2 linked regions of the Bombyx mori genome follow. Each later gene encodes a partner of the first gene's protein in a complex. Links are inferred from orthologs where the notes say so. Each region holds a gene or a part of one and is shown on either strand. Other genes may lie near its edges.

Region 1 (8,216 bases):
GCTTACTGAAGCACCCTGAGAATTAAAAATAGATTTATAAGAATATTTTCATACAAAAGTGTAAGTTTTTTGACGAAGCATGTTGCTGATAACTCTATTTCTGTAATCTGACGAAGCGTGTTGTGGATAATAATATGTACTTTTAGGTTATTAAAATAATATTCTGTGTAAATGTTTGGAAATAAAGTGTAAAAGAGATAAGTAAATCGTGTGTTACAATAGTTTTTCTATATTACATCTGTTAAGTACCAGTGTCAACATATCCTATTCTGCAGACCGAATGTTTATCACGGCGACGTCAACGTCGTCCTAAGCACGTCATTTCGCATCCTCCCGGTACACTAACGGTGCTTTTAGGTACCTCAAGCACCAGTCACCGTTCTCGTCGAACCCGTCGCTTGTAACGTAGGGTTCGGCTAGTAAATTAACCCACTACGCCCGAGATCGCGCTCCTCCGAGAGGAGTGCGTGCGGGCGCGCCGCCGAAGCGCCCGCCACCGCCGTCGCCGCCTTCGCGATGCGGACTTCGCGGAGGTAGCGGCCCGCCTGCATGCCGACTGCCGTCAGAAGCAGGAGGCACTGCGGCGGGTCATCGGCGAGGCCAAGTCTCAGAGCATGAAGACGCTCCTAGAGACGCTCGACCAGGATCCCTGGGGGCGCCCGTACCAAACGGTCCGCAAGAAATTGCGGCCGTGGGCGCTCCCGGTGACAGAGCGTCTCCAGCCTCAGCAGCTGCGGGAGATTGTCTCCGGGCTGTTCCCGCGGATGGAGAGGGACTTCGAGCCCCCCTCCATGGGCGCGCCGCCACGGGGTGATGTGAGCGGTGATGCCCCTGCTGAGGTGGTCCCTCCGAGTATCTCGGAGGAGGAGATTCGTGCGGCCGTGTCGAGGATGCGGAGGAAGGACGCGGCCCCCGGCCCTGACGGTGTTCATGGTCGGGTCTGGGATTTGGCCTTCGGTGCCCTTGGGGACCGGCTCGTGCGGCTCTTTGAAGCCTGCCTCGAGTCGGGACGGTTTCCGAAACAGTGGAAGACGGGCAGACTTGTTTTGCTGAGGAAGGAGGGACGCCCTGCAGACTCACCTGCGGGGTACCGTCCAATCGTGTTGCTGGACGAGGCGGGAAAACTGCTCGAGCGAGTGGTGGCCGCCCGCATCGTCCAGCACTTGGCGGGGGTGGGTCCCGATCTGTCAACGGAGCAGTTCGGATTCAGGGAGGGCCGCTCGACCATCGACGCGGTGATGCGCGTGCGCGCCCTCTCTGATGAGGCTGTCGGCCGGGGCGGGGTTGCACTGGCGGTGTCCCTGGACATCGCCAATGCGTTCAACACCCTGCCCTGGTCGGTGATCGCAGGGGCGCTGGAGTATCACGGCGTCCCTGCGTATCTCCGTCGGCTGATCGGGTCCTACCTCGAGGACAGGTCGGTCATGTGCACCGAGCACGGTGGGGCGGTGCTCCGCTTCCCCGTCGAGCGCGGTGTCCCACAGGGGTCGGTCCTTGGCCCTCTCTTGTGGAACATCGGCTACGACTGGGTCCTGCGGGGTGCCCTTAGCGCTCCTCTCCCGGGTCTAAGCGTAGTTTGTTACGTGGACGACACCTTGGTCGTGGCCCGGGGTAGGGACTTGCGCGAGTCTGCCCGTCTTTCCTGCGCGGGGGTGGCCTTCGTCGTCGGCAGGATCCGAAGGCTGGGTCTGGAGGTGGCGTTCGATAAATCCCAGGCCCTGTTGTTCCACGGGGCCCGGAGAGCGCCGCCTCAGGGGGCCCACCTCGTGATCGGAGGCGTTCGCGTCGAGATCGAGGCGACCGGGTTGCGGTACCTCGGCCTCGTACTGGACGGTCGTTGGAGCTTCCGTGCTCACTTCGAAAGATTGGGTCCCCGACTGATGGCAGCCGCCGGCTCGCTGAGTCGGCTGTTGCCGAACGTCGGGGGTCCCGACATGGTGGTGCGCCGCCTCTACACGGGGGTGGTGCGGTCAATGGCACTGTACGGGGCGCCCGTATGGTGCCACGCCCTGACCCGTGACAACGTCGCAGCGTTGCGACGTCCGCAGCGCGCGATTGCGGTCAGGGCGGTTCGTGGGTACCGCACCGTCTCGTTCGAGGCGGCGTGCGTGCTCGCCGGGACGCCTCCCTGGGACCTGGAAGCGGAGGCGCTTGCTGCGGATTACGCGTGGCGATGTGATCTCCGCTCCAGGGGGGAGCCGCGTCCCGGCGCGGCGGAAGTTCGAGCGCGGAAGCTTCAATCTCGGCGTGCCGTGCTCGAGGCGTGGTCTCGCCGCCTGGCGGACCCCGCCTACGGGCGACGGACCGTCGAGGCGATCCGCCCGGTCCTCTCGGACTGGGTGAATCGCGACCGAGGACGTCTCACCTTCCGAGCGACGCAGGTGCTCACGGGACACGGCTGTTTCGGTCGCTACCTGCACCTCGTCGCCCGGAGGGAGCCGACGCCGAAGTGCCACCATTGCAGTGGCTGCAACGAGGACACGGCGGAGCACACGCTCGCGTGCTGCCCCGCTTTCGCGGAGCAGCGCCGCGTCCTCGTTGCAAAAATAGGACCGGACTTGTCGCTTCCGACCGTCGTGGCTGCGATGCTCGGCAGCGATGAGTCCTGGCAGGCGATGCTCGACTTCTGCGTGTCCACCATCTCGCAGAAGGAGGCGGCGGAACGGGAGAGGGAGAACTCTTCCTCCCTCTCGGCGCCGTGCCGCCGCCGTCGAGCCGGGGGTCGGAGGAGGGCGTTTGTCCAGCTCCGGCCCCTATGAGGAGGCAGTCTCCTCCCGGTGATGGTCACGGGGCGACCTAAGGGGGCTGAGACTGCGCCGCACGCTACCGTCACTCTAGCGCGCTGGCACCAGGAGGACGGGACGACGCGTCGGCGGCTGCGGACTGCGATGCGGTCCGCATTTTCGTCGTCGCTGTCGTCGCCGAACACTGTGGAAGAGCAACCCGGTCGGCGGTGTATCGCGTTCCGACCCGGCAGGCTGGTTCTGGCCCAGCGGGGTATCCCGGAACACCAGCGGCATCGCCCGGGCGGCCTGAAGGGCCGCCGTACCGCGGAGACTGACGTCGTTGGTCGTCGACTATCGCCTCGACGACCCGTCGGTCGGGCGTCCTCGGGGTGGCGCCGCGTGTCTGGTTGTAGTGTTGACCGCGGGAACCCCCCTACTCTGACCGGGTTTTGACCCCGGACGGAGATCGGACGCCGGGTGTAAGAGTGCAGGGGAGTCGTTTAGTGGGTGGGCCCTAAATTCCTTGGGCCCGCGGTCTGCTCTCAACACCTGCAGATCGTTGAGTCTCACATACCCCGCGCGCCCCCTAGGCGCGGGGACCTCGTAGGAGGTTCGGCCCACGGCCCGGAAAAAAAAAAAAAAAAAAAAAAAAAAAAAAGTAAATTAACCCACTTACACAGCCCACTGAGTTTCTCGCCAGACCTTCCGATCCGGTGATGGATCCAAACCGATAGAAGCAGACCAGTGCTAGGGCTAGAGTTAGCAACGTCCACAGCTTAGAGCCCCGTGAGCTCACCTACTCTCTCGTTTACGCTGGCATAACCTCTAAAGGCTACCCAGCTTAAGTAATACCCGTGGCAATGTACAGTAGTTGTATCTCGTGCATGATATTGGTGTGTGCCCATATATTTATGTGCAGTAACATACTCACATGTGAAGGTAGTTGCGCGGCGAGATGTCGATGCAGCGCATGTGCATCAAGCAGAGCTTGTGCAGGGGAGCGTGTGTGAGTGGCAGCATACGCACTGACAGCTATGCATCCGGCCCACGTGTACTCCACTCCGCTGCGACATAGCAGCCAGGCCAGCTCTACTGCTATGCAAGCACTCTAATGCAAATGTATTATTAGATTAAGACTTATCTGTAAATAATTGTCAAATTCATATTACAAGTGAGATTGATACAAGACTGGATCTACTTTATTCATTAATGTCCATAATTATTGTTAACACAGTTCAATAGGTTTATCAGACGTTTTACTCACCGGTTTACCATAATATGAGAATTGAGTGTAGTTAAACATAAGATCGTTTCGTTTTGTTTCCCATTCTCTACGTTGACGCCGTCTCTCGACAAAAGCTTCTAGGTCTTCTCGACCACTTGGCATTTCTTCTTCGTTCTGTAATTATTTTTAATATCTTCACACTGACTTCAAATTTTAAATACCATTAAATTTTTATTGTAAACTAGATTTTTAAAAACTTTTGGAGTTTGCAGCATTGCAAAATAGTCTTAAATCAGATATTACAGTTTCGTACCTCATCATCATCATCTCTGAATATATCATCAAAATTAGGAATGTTCTCTTCTTCATCACGGTACACCAGTCTCACCTGTAACAGAACAAAATATATATTTCTACCTACTATCTAGTAATCTAGTGGGGTTGTACTAACTTCACTGAACATGTTTTTTTTTCTTTCTAAATGTTAAAACAATAAAGCCATGTTAGCTTCTAAATTCCCTTCCTTTATTTGAGGTCAAGTCTTTTGATTCTGTTCTGTTGAAACATTTTGCTGCACTTTGTGTCATATCCTAACATAATGATTATGTACTTTGTCAAATTTAGGCTCTAAGCTATCTCTCTATCTCTAACTAACTAATCTAGTCTTTTGAACAGTTATTCTTGTTTATTCACCCAAACTTCATATGAAATGGAGTGGATTAAGAACTTTTTTCATTTGTTCACCCATCCATAAGCAAGTTTATGTCTGTCTAAAAATTCAATTCCCAAATCATTGCCAACATAAAGTATTTATAACATCTGCTGCTCTCTCTAGTTCCACTAACCTGTCCATCGCTATAAACATTGCAGACATCAGTCGGTTTATGGGAGTCCAGCACAAAAAATACCACATCCTCCTCGGGCTGTAAGATATCGACCAGGTCTATAGTACCTCCGCAGTTCACCAACACTACGTACTTGACTTCTTCATTGTTTTCTTCGTAAGCAGTCTTCAATTCAGAAATACCCCCCACCGGCACTAGCGTATATGATATATTATCACTCTTGAATAATCCTTGAAGTATTTTACATGTACATATTGCATCTACATCATAATGCACTAATAATAACACGCGCTGGAAGTAAATTAACAAAAATACAATTTTCAGGTCAATATTTCACGAATATTTATCTTCAGTTTTAAAGCTTACATTGCCTAAAAGGAGATTGTAAAAGTCATTTCTGAGGTCCTCTATAAACATTTTTGCCGTACACAGGAACGAATAACTCAGGAAATAACCATTTTCCTATGAGTGTTAGAAATTTTTAACATATAAAAAACATTGAACCACCATTGAAATTGAACACCTGCGGCTTCTGTCATTAACTTGTCAATAATGTCAATATTTTGTTCTTGTTGACATTTTGAAACTAACTGTTAAGTAATTTTCCCGCGTAAACCAGTTGTCAACTTCATATATTTGCACGGCCGTCGACTGGGTTTAAGTAGAATAGTTATTTAGTTATTTTATCCAGTAGAATGCGGCCATTCTACTAAGACTTCACAATGGCTTCTAAGAACCAGACTAGTATTTCAAGACATTTTTTGTATTTCCCCGCTCTTGAGCACTTGCTGCCTAATAACAATTTTTTTTTTATAAATTAACACTTTCTTTTCATAAACACGAAAACATGCAAAAATTTACATGAGCTACATACCAAACAAGAAGATGGTAATTTAATTTTTGTTGTTGCCATTGGATTTATCTTTATTTCACTCCGGAATAAAAATAGGTACTTTATTTCTGATCCTCCTACGAGGTCCAGACGCCTACGAAACGACTCTCCTGTACTCTCACCCAGGCGTTCGAAGCCCCCTCCTGTTACTTCTTCAATTAAATTAATATAGCAATGGGTTATTTGGGTACCACTATATTACAAATAATATACGCCGCGAAGGATTCACGCGGTGCTTGAAGGACGGGACGGAATTAATGTTTCGTCGACAATTCAAGAATTTCGACCTCATATTTTAACGAGGGTGGTGGGGCTTAAGATTGGAACAGAAACGACTTACCGAAACGGGAAAAACAGGGGATATTAAGGGTTAATTAAATTAAAATAATTTAATTCATATTGAAAATTCAATCCTTTATTACTTATTACAAAAAGCCACGTTCGCCATGGGTAGTTAGAGAAGTCATAAAGGCTTTCGTATACTATAGTTGAGAGTTTACATTGAATAATGTAGCATGTGAGTTCATCGTGAGTTGATCTACAGGAACAAAAATCAATTTTGTCCACACAAATCAGGTTAATTGGAGAAAATGCTTCCTGAAGTTTAAAATGAATACCGTCAAAATATCTTATTGACAAAAATGTCAACAAGAAAAACGTTACATTGTATTTTAGTAATTTCAAGTGTTTTGTATCTGAGATCGATTCTTGAATATGTGCACGTGATGACTCGCAATTTTATGCATTATTGTATCCGGTCGTAGTAAATTACAGGATAGCGCGCGATGATAAGATTTAATCAAAGATTCGTCCGTCTCTTCTGGATAAAGATACTCATTTACTTCATAACAAAGTAGTTGTTCCGGGCAATCTAACGCCCGGAGACATCCAGCATATTCCGACCATATCAATTTCCTCCATTTAACATTATGCTTTTGAGCTAAAGGCACCAATACACATGCAGAAAACACGTCATCTCCATAGCTGACCGCTTGGAATTGTTCTAGAAACTGTGTGTAGAAATCTTGGAAGTTGTTCAAGCCCGTTAATTGTTTATCGAAATTGAAGGCTGATTTCTTTTTGAAAAGGACATTGGTGCATTTCTGCAGTAACATTCTAATTTTTGGTTGCAAGAATAACGAGTTGTCACATAAAAACACGCACATGATTCGACAAAATCTATCTGTTACATCAATATCATTGACTAAATCAGAAAAACAGAGTTCGTTAAACAATATCCATTCTAAGCTACATGTTATTATAAATTCCTTTTCGGTCGCTATTTGCGCTGACATTTTCTGGGCATGATCTCCGGAAACATGGGGAATCGACTCCGCCTCCTGATTTTTACTGTATAACATCAAAATTGGCAAATAAATCCAGTCTCTTGGCAAAATTGGCTCCATCCATTTTCTTAACACAACATTAGCACCTGTATCTTTGTAATTCAAGTTAATAACTCTACGGTAACATTGTCGTATGTCTTCTATGGCAGTTAAAGCTCTTGAGAATCCGTCTGCATCAGTCAAATTGACAAGATTTAACAACCTTTCGGCCGTGAACCAATCTTTGTTAAAAACGATACTTTCAAATAAGAAATCTAGTTCATATTTTTTATCTACCCTCAATGTGTAACACAATTTGTTAGCTACTGCATACATTACATCCTTTTTGCTTTCATCAACATTACACATAACAGATAATTTCATAACGTAAAAAACAAAATTAGTTTCCATTCTAGTGAACCAATTATCTGAAAGACTAGGAACACATTTAGATAATCTTTGCAAATAGTTCCAAACATGGTCTAAGAATATTCTAGAGATTTCTTTTTGATTGACTATTGTCAGTAATTTGAAAAGTGACATCAGCAGAGGTATGGGAGATGCAACTTTCAGTATTGGTAAAACTTTTTGAGCAGAATCAATGACAGTGCATTTTAGACTTATTAAGTTCTTAACTGAATACAAATCTTTATTTTCAATTTTTGAGAGCAAATTAGAGCAGGAACTAAGGTTGTTAATCACATTTTGAAATCCTTTAGAATAAGACAGTTGTTTCAGGGCATCACTCACGAACTTCACAGGCAATTGTTCAATTTCAATAACAGTATAACAGCAATCTAAAGCCGAGCATAAAATTCTCAGATGCGCACATGTATAATGTTCCATTTGCGATAACTGACCAAACCATTTCAATAGCCCTTCCTTCAACAACTTATAAACTTCAGTCTTGAAAGTAAGAAAATCATTTAAATTATGTTTCAGTATGTTATTTATCAGCTGCAAGACCACAGCTGCATGTGTTGCTGCCAACACAGAAGCTTCCACATTAATGTCTGTACCCTGAACGTGTTTGTATAAAGCTGTCAGTATGACTGGACACAATGAAATGGCACTATCATAGCTTAGTCCAAAATAAAGTAAATTTGATAGTATACAATATGACTCAGTCTGTATTCTTAAGCCATAACTTCTGTCAACTGCTGAACTCAGATACACAGAAATTGGTGCTAAAATATTGTATTT
Region 2 (8,145 bases), on another chromosome or scaffold:
GTTTTCGTCGCCACGTACGAATAAGCAACCATAGCTTATTACATTTGAATTTTTGTAAGCAACCACAGAGATTAAGCCGTAAAAATAGTTAAAATTACGTCAACAAATAATGCTTACAGGAGTCAGTGAAAAACTATGAAATATATAAAATTGTATACTTATACAAAAGTTCGTAACAACAGTCATAAGATAGTATGAAAGTTCTGTGCAAGCGGCAGAGGCCAAGCGTAATTACAATAATTCACTTTACACTCCACAAGGGACGTAGATATATGAAAATGTTAGTTCATTGTTCTTACCGGAGTAATTAGCAGTTTAAAAAATATCTCCTCTTTGGAACAGCACTTCCGTTTCATTTTTATCTTTGTTTTGACTATACCCCCTTCATAAATCAATGATTTTCTATGAATCGACGCGTCTTTTATAAGTCGAGTCGAAATTTTGTGATATCATAGTTAATATACATAAATTAGTAAATATACCATAATATTAGAATTGAAAGTTCATCTTATAAGAAGGGATCTCTTCCAGACGATTGGATAATAAAGACAAAAAAAGAAGTGATGTATAAATTAATTGTTGTTTGCACTTGAATGAAATATTTCTACCATAGCACCGTCAACGTACCTCAAATGACTTTTGTGTATTTTGAACTAATAGGTGTATTTAATGAATTTATTCTGGACATGTTACAAACAAAAAACATTAGTTTCGTTTAATTAAGAACTTGGAAAATACTGTTAGTTGTGACTCTAACCGCCACCTTTTGTGGAAATTTGAAACTAGTAAACGTAATGGAAGTACATACGTATTGAAAATAGATGTCGCTAGATGCATCGAATGTCACATTTGACATATTTATGGCGCGAAAAAACGCCTTAAAACAGAATGGGTTTTAAATGACTAGCTGAATTTCCGGGCGCGATCTCACGAATTTGTATGCAGATTTAAGAAGAAAGATGTTGAATGTTGTTGCTCGGAGACAATGTGTTTTTCGCTCGTGCAGACACATCTGTTATTTATTTGTCGCATTCAAGACAGGTTACTTTTATAAATCTCCAAGATGTTTTTTATCTGTGACGTTTTTATGTTTCGTGAAATCGCTGAATGCTTTTTCTTCTTGTGATTATTTCACTGTAGTATGTTTACATATTTCAAAGGTTTACCAGAAAATAAATGAAATATTAGTATTTTCTATGATAAAAGATAGACTCTACAGATTAAATATGATTCGTTCAAAATAAAATTTATTGCCATTTTCATAGTGTCGAATAGGTGCGTTACTAAAAACTCCGACGAAATAGTAGACTTAGCACTGAAATTGGGCGAATGAAATACATAGTGATCAGTTTATAGACAGAGCAATGTATGTGTTTTTTCCAAACTAAGAGACGCATAAACTTACTGTTCTCTCTGACACAAGGGGGTGAGTCCCCACCAATAATATAGAGCCATAAATATCACCCGTCTGAGACATTGTCAACCGGCTACCCTAATTTACGAGGAGTAATTAGGAGTTTGCACTCTGCCAAAACGATTTGCATCGATCGCCACTCGTAAATGACGTCAATAATTTTAAATGGTAATTTCAATGTTTTACTTTTATGCAGAGAGATGAAGAGTGAGCGAGTTTCGCGTTTTATTTCAGGATTATGCTAACGACTAAATTACATGTAAGGCTAACTTATGCAATTTGAGTTTAAATTAAGCAATTCACAAAAATAATACCCACTTATTTAATGTTCTTTATTTACGATTCCACTTAAAATTGTTCTATAACTACGATTTTTTTTAAAGTAGATTTTTTTTATTTTAGTGCCACCTAGTTCAATCATCTGAACTACGCCAGCTTTAGTGAAAACAAACCATCTATGTCAGTTATTTAAATGTAGCATAGATGACGCTTAAATAAGCAAATTTAAAGAAAACATGTAAATTAAAACTTAATTACCTACTTCCAGTATCGCCATTCATACAGCTATTTAAAACACTGGATTTATGAAACTTATTTCATAAATTCGATCTACTAAGTCGTATTATTTAAACGTTATTCCCGCCAATTTTCCTTTTTTTTAAGGGATTTTATGAACTGGTAACTAAGACTTTTAGGTCATTTTTCGTATTTTCGTATTTTAATTTATATTCATAGTTTTATGAAAAATGATAATATGGAGTGAAATGAAATGAAAATAATTAATTTGAGACATTAATCAACTGGGATGAAATATAATCTCAGTAAAATGGTGGTCACTTACCGCCAAAAAATCTGCATCACTATGTCAGTATGTCAAAGCATAGAACACTTACTATTTGAGTTTCAAAGTCAAACAATTAAGCTCTATAAACAAGAGTAAATATCAGTGGTCTCGAACCTACCGATTTTTCGGTATATCTACCGATATGGGCACTGATCTATTGAAATACCGAAATAAAATGATTTTTCTACGATTTCAGAGTATACATGGAAATTCTCCCGATTTTTCTACCGATTTGACACTTTTAGACATTATTGATCCAAAACATGTTAAAATTGGCAAGACTACTTCGATACTACTTAAAAGTAGGCTCTTTCCCAATATTGTTCAGAGCAATGATTTCCAGGAAATTGATAGAGTAGCGCATTTTAAGAAATTGTGAATAAATCAAAACATTTCCTAATGATGTAGAACTATTTTGGGAAGAAGTAACTTTATTAAAACGTGGCGATGAAACTCAAATGTTTCCTTTGTTGTCTAATTTCATCCTTAATATTTTATCACTTTCCTATTCATCCGCTAACGTTGAACGCATATTTATTCTTTTGAAAACAAAACAGCGAAATAGGCTGTCTACTGAGTCAATCACTGGTCTATTACATGCAAAACGACTCTATAATACAGCTAATTGCTATGATTTTGAAATTAATTCAACGATGACTGCAGCTATGGCCAAACAATATTGGTATAAAAAATATTTATTCTTAAATATGATTGTTATAAATTAGTATGTAAGTTTTTTTTTCAATAAATAAACGCATTTGATTGAATATTGTATATTTTTTGACTAATACCGATTTTGGGTACAAAATAGTACAAATGTACCGATTTTAGCTGGCAAGTCTACTAATCTCGCTCTATGACGTTTGAGATCAGTGATAAAGATAAGGCGACTTTTTGGCGGGAACGCGAGGAGTGAAGTTGTGTGTTTTGTTTTATTTTGTCTATTTAGTGTTTCTTGGGTTTATATGTGTAATAATGGTGGTTTATTAACTGTTTAATATCTGTGAAAGTGCAAAAATGTGGGAAAATGAAACAAAGCCGCTGGACGTCACTTCTCGGGATCCTCCAAAAGTCCAACGAAAAAATCTCAGTAAATGACCACCATTTTACTGAGATTATAGTTCATCCCATATCATCTCATCTCATTTCATTTGATTTCATCCCAGTTAATTAATGTCTCAAATTAATTATCTTCATTTCATTTCATCATTTTTCATAAAAATAAGAGTATAAATTAAAATAAGACATGACTTAAAAGTCTTAGTTACCAGGTCATAATATAAAATACCTAAAAAAATATGATAAATAAAAACATGATAAAGGTAGGTAATATTCCTAAATTTTTAACCAAAATGAATTAAATTAAATATATGTATATTATTAAATGATTATAAATTATTAAAACCATAAAAATAATAATGGAACCTTATGAAATCGAGTTTATTGGTGAGAATCGGATAATCAGTATAACACCAAACTTTACCCATGATAAAATATACTTGATATGCGGTGAATTTGGTCCGTTTCGTGCTGGTTTACCTGTGAACGTACCACTCTGGCTGGCTATCATGCTAAAGCAGAAACAAAAGTGCCATGTTATCCCTCCTGACTGGATGGACGTGGAAGTTTTGGAGAATATTAAAGAAGAGGAAAAGCGTTCCAGGTTTGTCAATATATTTAATAAATTTGGTTTTTTACAAAACACACCAGTTTCAAAACTTTGATCTTTCTAGGTGGTCCAGTTTATTCCAGATACAATTTAATATTTTGTTTATACAACTTCCATGTCTTAATTTTAAATCAAAAAGTATATTTTATTATTATGGTTTATGTTATAAATACCTTCTAGAGCCATCCATTCTAACACTGATACTAAACAATAACTATTAGTGGTCTACCTGTTAATAAATCTCAAATTGTAACATGATTAAAAAACTTGAAGTTCATTGGTCAATAAATATATCTTTGCCAGTACTCATGAAAGGGTGTGTAAATATAAAATCTATCATTAAATGGCGTTTGAGAATTATCAGCAAGATAAAGCAAGTAGTTGTAGTAGTCAAAGTTTTCACATTAAATCTTCCTAAAATTATCAAACTACCAGATTCTTCACAAAGATGCCAAATGAACACTATATGGTGGAAGCCAAACTGATACTTGGTTCAGCTGCCGAAGATGTTCCCAATGCACCAGAAATAAAGACTATTATCAAAGACATCTGGGATATAAGAATGTCTAAGTTACGAACATCAATGGATGCATTGATGAAAACTGGAGGTTTGTAATGATTCCTTTAAAATACTTTACTTTTAAGTACTTTTAACTTACATTTTAAAGATTTTTGAATTGAGAGGATTTTATATTTTATTTTATTGTAACTGATGATATTGTAAACCTGCATGGATCAGAAAGCCTATAATGATGATATGTGGTCTTCGGTAACAACTTAACACCAGAATGGTATGCTTAAATTAAGATAAGAAAAAAATATAGAATGTGACTTACTCAGTCATAAGTTAAATTCAGGACATTTATAATTGACATTTTCAGGTGGCTATGGCAGATTAGATCATTTAACAATGATGGAAATAAACTCAGTGAAACCTCTTCTACCTGCTGCTATGGACAACCTCTTAAGGATGCAAATGGTAAGAACATGTGTGACAAATTGTAATATACTCTCCTTTAGACACATCCTTCTGTATTTTCATCTCCACTTTGTCCTTTTTACGAATATCTCTGAATGTATGTACCATCCTTCGGACCATCTTATACGTGACACATTTATGCATTCTACTCTGAAGGATCCTTGGATTTCTGTTCTAGACTTCACTCTCGTGTCCTAGTAGAAGGGCAAATCACATTGTTGTGATGATGATGTGTGTTACCAAAACTAAAACTGTGAGTGTGCAGTGAGTTCAGCTAACCTAAGGTTTAGTAACTACGGTAATTTGGAGTTTGTAAACCTGGTCTTATCAATATCATTGTTAAACTTAAATTCGGTATTGAAGATTTTTTTATTTGTTTTATAGAGTAAATTACAGTAAGCTGTCTTTAGACTTTCAACTGTAGTTTTGACAAAAATAATTTGATAGGCAGTACACGCACAATGTCCATATCAGTGAATCTACACTGGATCTAGTAGATCTGAAGACACTCTTCTTCAGTCTTCTTGTTGTCATTTGGTTGTCCGTTAGATGCTTAGCAAGGTTATTTGGGTGGGCTTTAAAATTGAAGATCTGAGTGCAATTATTCTTATATGTACTTGCAGTACAGTTTTGTAACAAATAATCAACTTTTTGTTTTACAGAAAACGAAAAAGACAGCACCATCGCTCAATTTAAATAGTTCAACCTTCAGTCAATCAGGGAGCTCTCAAAATACATAGTTTTAAGTGTAGTTAAGTGTAGTTTAAGTTTAGTAAGTTCTTAATACTTTTTAATGATTTTGTAACAAAGTGGTTGGTAACAATCAAAAAGTGGTAATAACATTAAAAACACTTATTGTAACCTTGTTTTTATTCTTTTTAGATATTTAAAATTGCATGCATTTAGAGTTGATCTTATTATATTAAACATTTGATAACCTGTTGTTTTAGACCGAAACCTCAAATCTCAACAGTTTTTATTTTTCACTGCCTAATCTTCGGTAGCCTACGGGGCTGTTCAACTACGCGCGGACCATTAGGTGGGCTCATGGGCACAACCTGGAAAAATATGCTAACACCAGCCCTAACAAAAGCAGTGCTTCGCAGAATCTACCACCGGATCGGAACCGCGACCCACTTAGAAGATCCGGCGGGAAATTAAGTGGGCTGTGTCTATGGACTAGCTCGCACGTCGAACTCTTCAGTTCAGTTCGTCAACGCGTCAGTAATCGATGAATTCGACGAAGACAATGACCACTGCTTAAAGACCTAAAAGCACCGAGAGCGGATGTTGAGGACCCGACAAGATAAATTTTGGGCGACGGCGGCTGCCTTGTCCCGTCGCCTGGGTGCGATATGTAACAGGTCTACAAAAAAAATTATTTTTTTCTACTTTTTTTTCATAGATGAATTCATTATATTTTGTGCTCCAAACACGGAATCTGACATACAATTAGTTACCACACGTAGATTCCCATATAATATTTATTTAATTAACAAACAATATTATTAAAATATCAATTATCATAACGAAATGAAAACATATTTCGGTCTAAGTTTTACAGTGAAAAATCTGAAATTATAGTCACAAAATGAATATATATCGGTCAGTTATCTCATTATATGGTGAGAAGATTTATTTTGTGGTTTTTTTATTTGTCATCGTTTCTATTGGAGTTTCTCAGCGAATTGACCAACAGAAATCAGCAAGCACTGCTGCTGACCATTTCCCACTGTAGCGTTTTTCAATGTGCATTATATCCTGATGAAACCTTTCACCATATTCATCTGATACGGCTCCAAGATTTTCAGGAAAGAGATCTAAAAGAGAGTCGGAAAAATAAATCTTGAGTGACATATTGCATCCTAAAGCTTTATAAGCAAAAAGAAGCTCCCGAATGATTTGTCAGTAGTTCTCACTTTTTCTGTTCCCAAGAAAATTATGACAAACTTTCACAAAAGCCGCCCAAGCTCTTTTTTCTGCTTCGTTCAACTTCGAATTAAAATTTTCATCTTTCATTAGCTCACGTAAGTATCTGTTGATCTACAAAAATTTCTTCCTTCAATTTTGCGTCACTGATTCGAGGAATTTTGGTTTTTAGATATTGAAATTATTCATTGATATTAATTTTAGATATAGTTTTTCTTGAGTCCCAACCTTATGTGAGTGGTGGCAGAAATTTTTTCTCACTTGGCACCAAAGGTTTCTGAGACACATTTTTAAGCCCAGGATTTAAAGTTTTTATCTTGCGTGACTGTCCCACTCACAAAGAAAACGGCAAAACTTTGTGTACCCTCATTGTAATCCGGTGAGTATAGCGACGACTTTTAAATCAGCACAAATATTCCATAAGTAGTTTGAGTTCCATAAAGGTTTGAAAAAAAAAACATATCAAAAAATCTAGACGTGATGGAAAAAATCGGCCAAGGGGTATAGATTCAGAACATTTAAATCGTCATATTTATGACAAAAAATTTTAAAGGAGGATTTCATTGCATACCTGTGTAATTAGCGGTGGCCATTAAAAGAGATTTATAGTGTGGTGCCACTTTATAAAAGTTGTGTTCTGACGCTTCCAGATCGGTTTCGCTTAAAAATCCGAGGTATTGCTTACCCCTGCTATTACCTGTCCCTTTATTATTATTTTTTCGGGCCGGAGGCCGAACCTCCTACGAGATCCCCGGCGGGGTATGTGGGGCTGGTCCGCGAATGCGAGACCGCGGGCCCAAGGAATTTTAGGACCGTACCGCACTAAATGACCCCTGCGTTCTTACACCCGACGTCCGATCTCCGTCTGGGGTCAGAACCCGGTCAGAGTAGGGAGGTTCCCGCGGTCAACGCTACAACCAGACACGCGGCGCCACCCCGAGGACGCCCGACCGACGAGTCGTCGAGGCGATAGTCAACGACCAACGACGTCGGTCTCCGCGGTACGGCGGCCCTACCAGGCCGCCTCGCGCTGGTGTTCCGGGATACCCCGCTGGGCCAGAACCAGCCTGTCGGAAGGCGATACACCGCCGAGCGGGTTGCTACTACTACCTGATCCCTACATTAACAGTTCCATATTGGTGTTATTTTCTGTCAATATAGTTTCGTTTTAACAATCCCTTACAATTGCTTTGTATAGAAATAAAATAAAAAATTCATAAGAAAAAAATATATTTCTTCTGAAAACCAAGATTTACAATTCTTCACTTAAATGTAAAAAAGTAGAAGACGCAAACTACGAACCTAATTAA

What was found. The genes of interacting proteins can lie anywhere in the genome.
Region 2: cell division control protein 45 homolog (region 1) and probable DNA replication complex GINS protein PSF2 share a complex: the UniProt entries of both Homo sapiens proteins name them as parts of the CMG helicase complex. The link is inferred for Bombyx mori from reciprocal best matches to the Homo sapiens genes CDC45 and GINS2.

Annotation. Positions count from the first base shown.
Region 1 is NC_085122.1:1,049,763-1,057,978, forward strand, and holds the start of cell division control protein 45 homolog, read right to left. Parts: upstream 5,351-8,216; 5' UTR 5,214-5,350; coding exon 5,163-5,213; intron 5,088-5,162; coding exon 4,797-5,087; intron 4,340-4,796; coding exon 4,265-4,339; intron 4,126-4,264; coding exon 3,991-4,125; intron 3,835-3,990; coding exon 3,658-3,834; intron 16-3,657; coding exon 1-15. Other genes in the region: RNA polymerase II-associated protein 1, read right to left, coding at 6,369-8,216. UniProt on the Homo sapiens protein: Required for initiation of chromosomal DNA replication. Core component of CDC45-MCM-GINS (CMG) helicase, the molecular machine that unwinds template DNA during replication, and around which the replisome is built.
Region 2 is NC_085116.1:1,522,816-1,530,960, forward strand, and holds probable DNA replication complex GINS protein PSF2, read left to right. Parts: upstream 1-3,143; 5' UTR 3,144-3,676; coding exon 3,677-3,921; intron 3,922-4,362; coding exon 4,363-4,535; intron 4,536-4,808; coding exon 4,809-5,104; 3' UTR 5,105-5,568; coding exon of another isoform or gene 5,569-5,646; 3' UTR 5,647-5,767; downstream 5,768-8,145. UniProt on the Homo sapiens protein: Required for correct functioning of the GINS complex, a complex that plays an essential role in the initiation of DNA replication, and progression of DNA replication forks.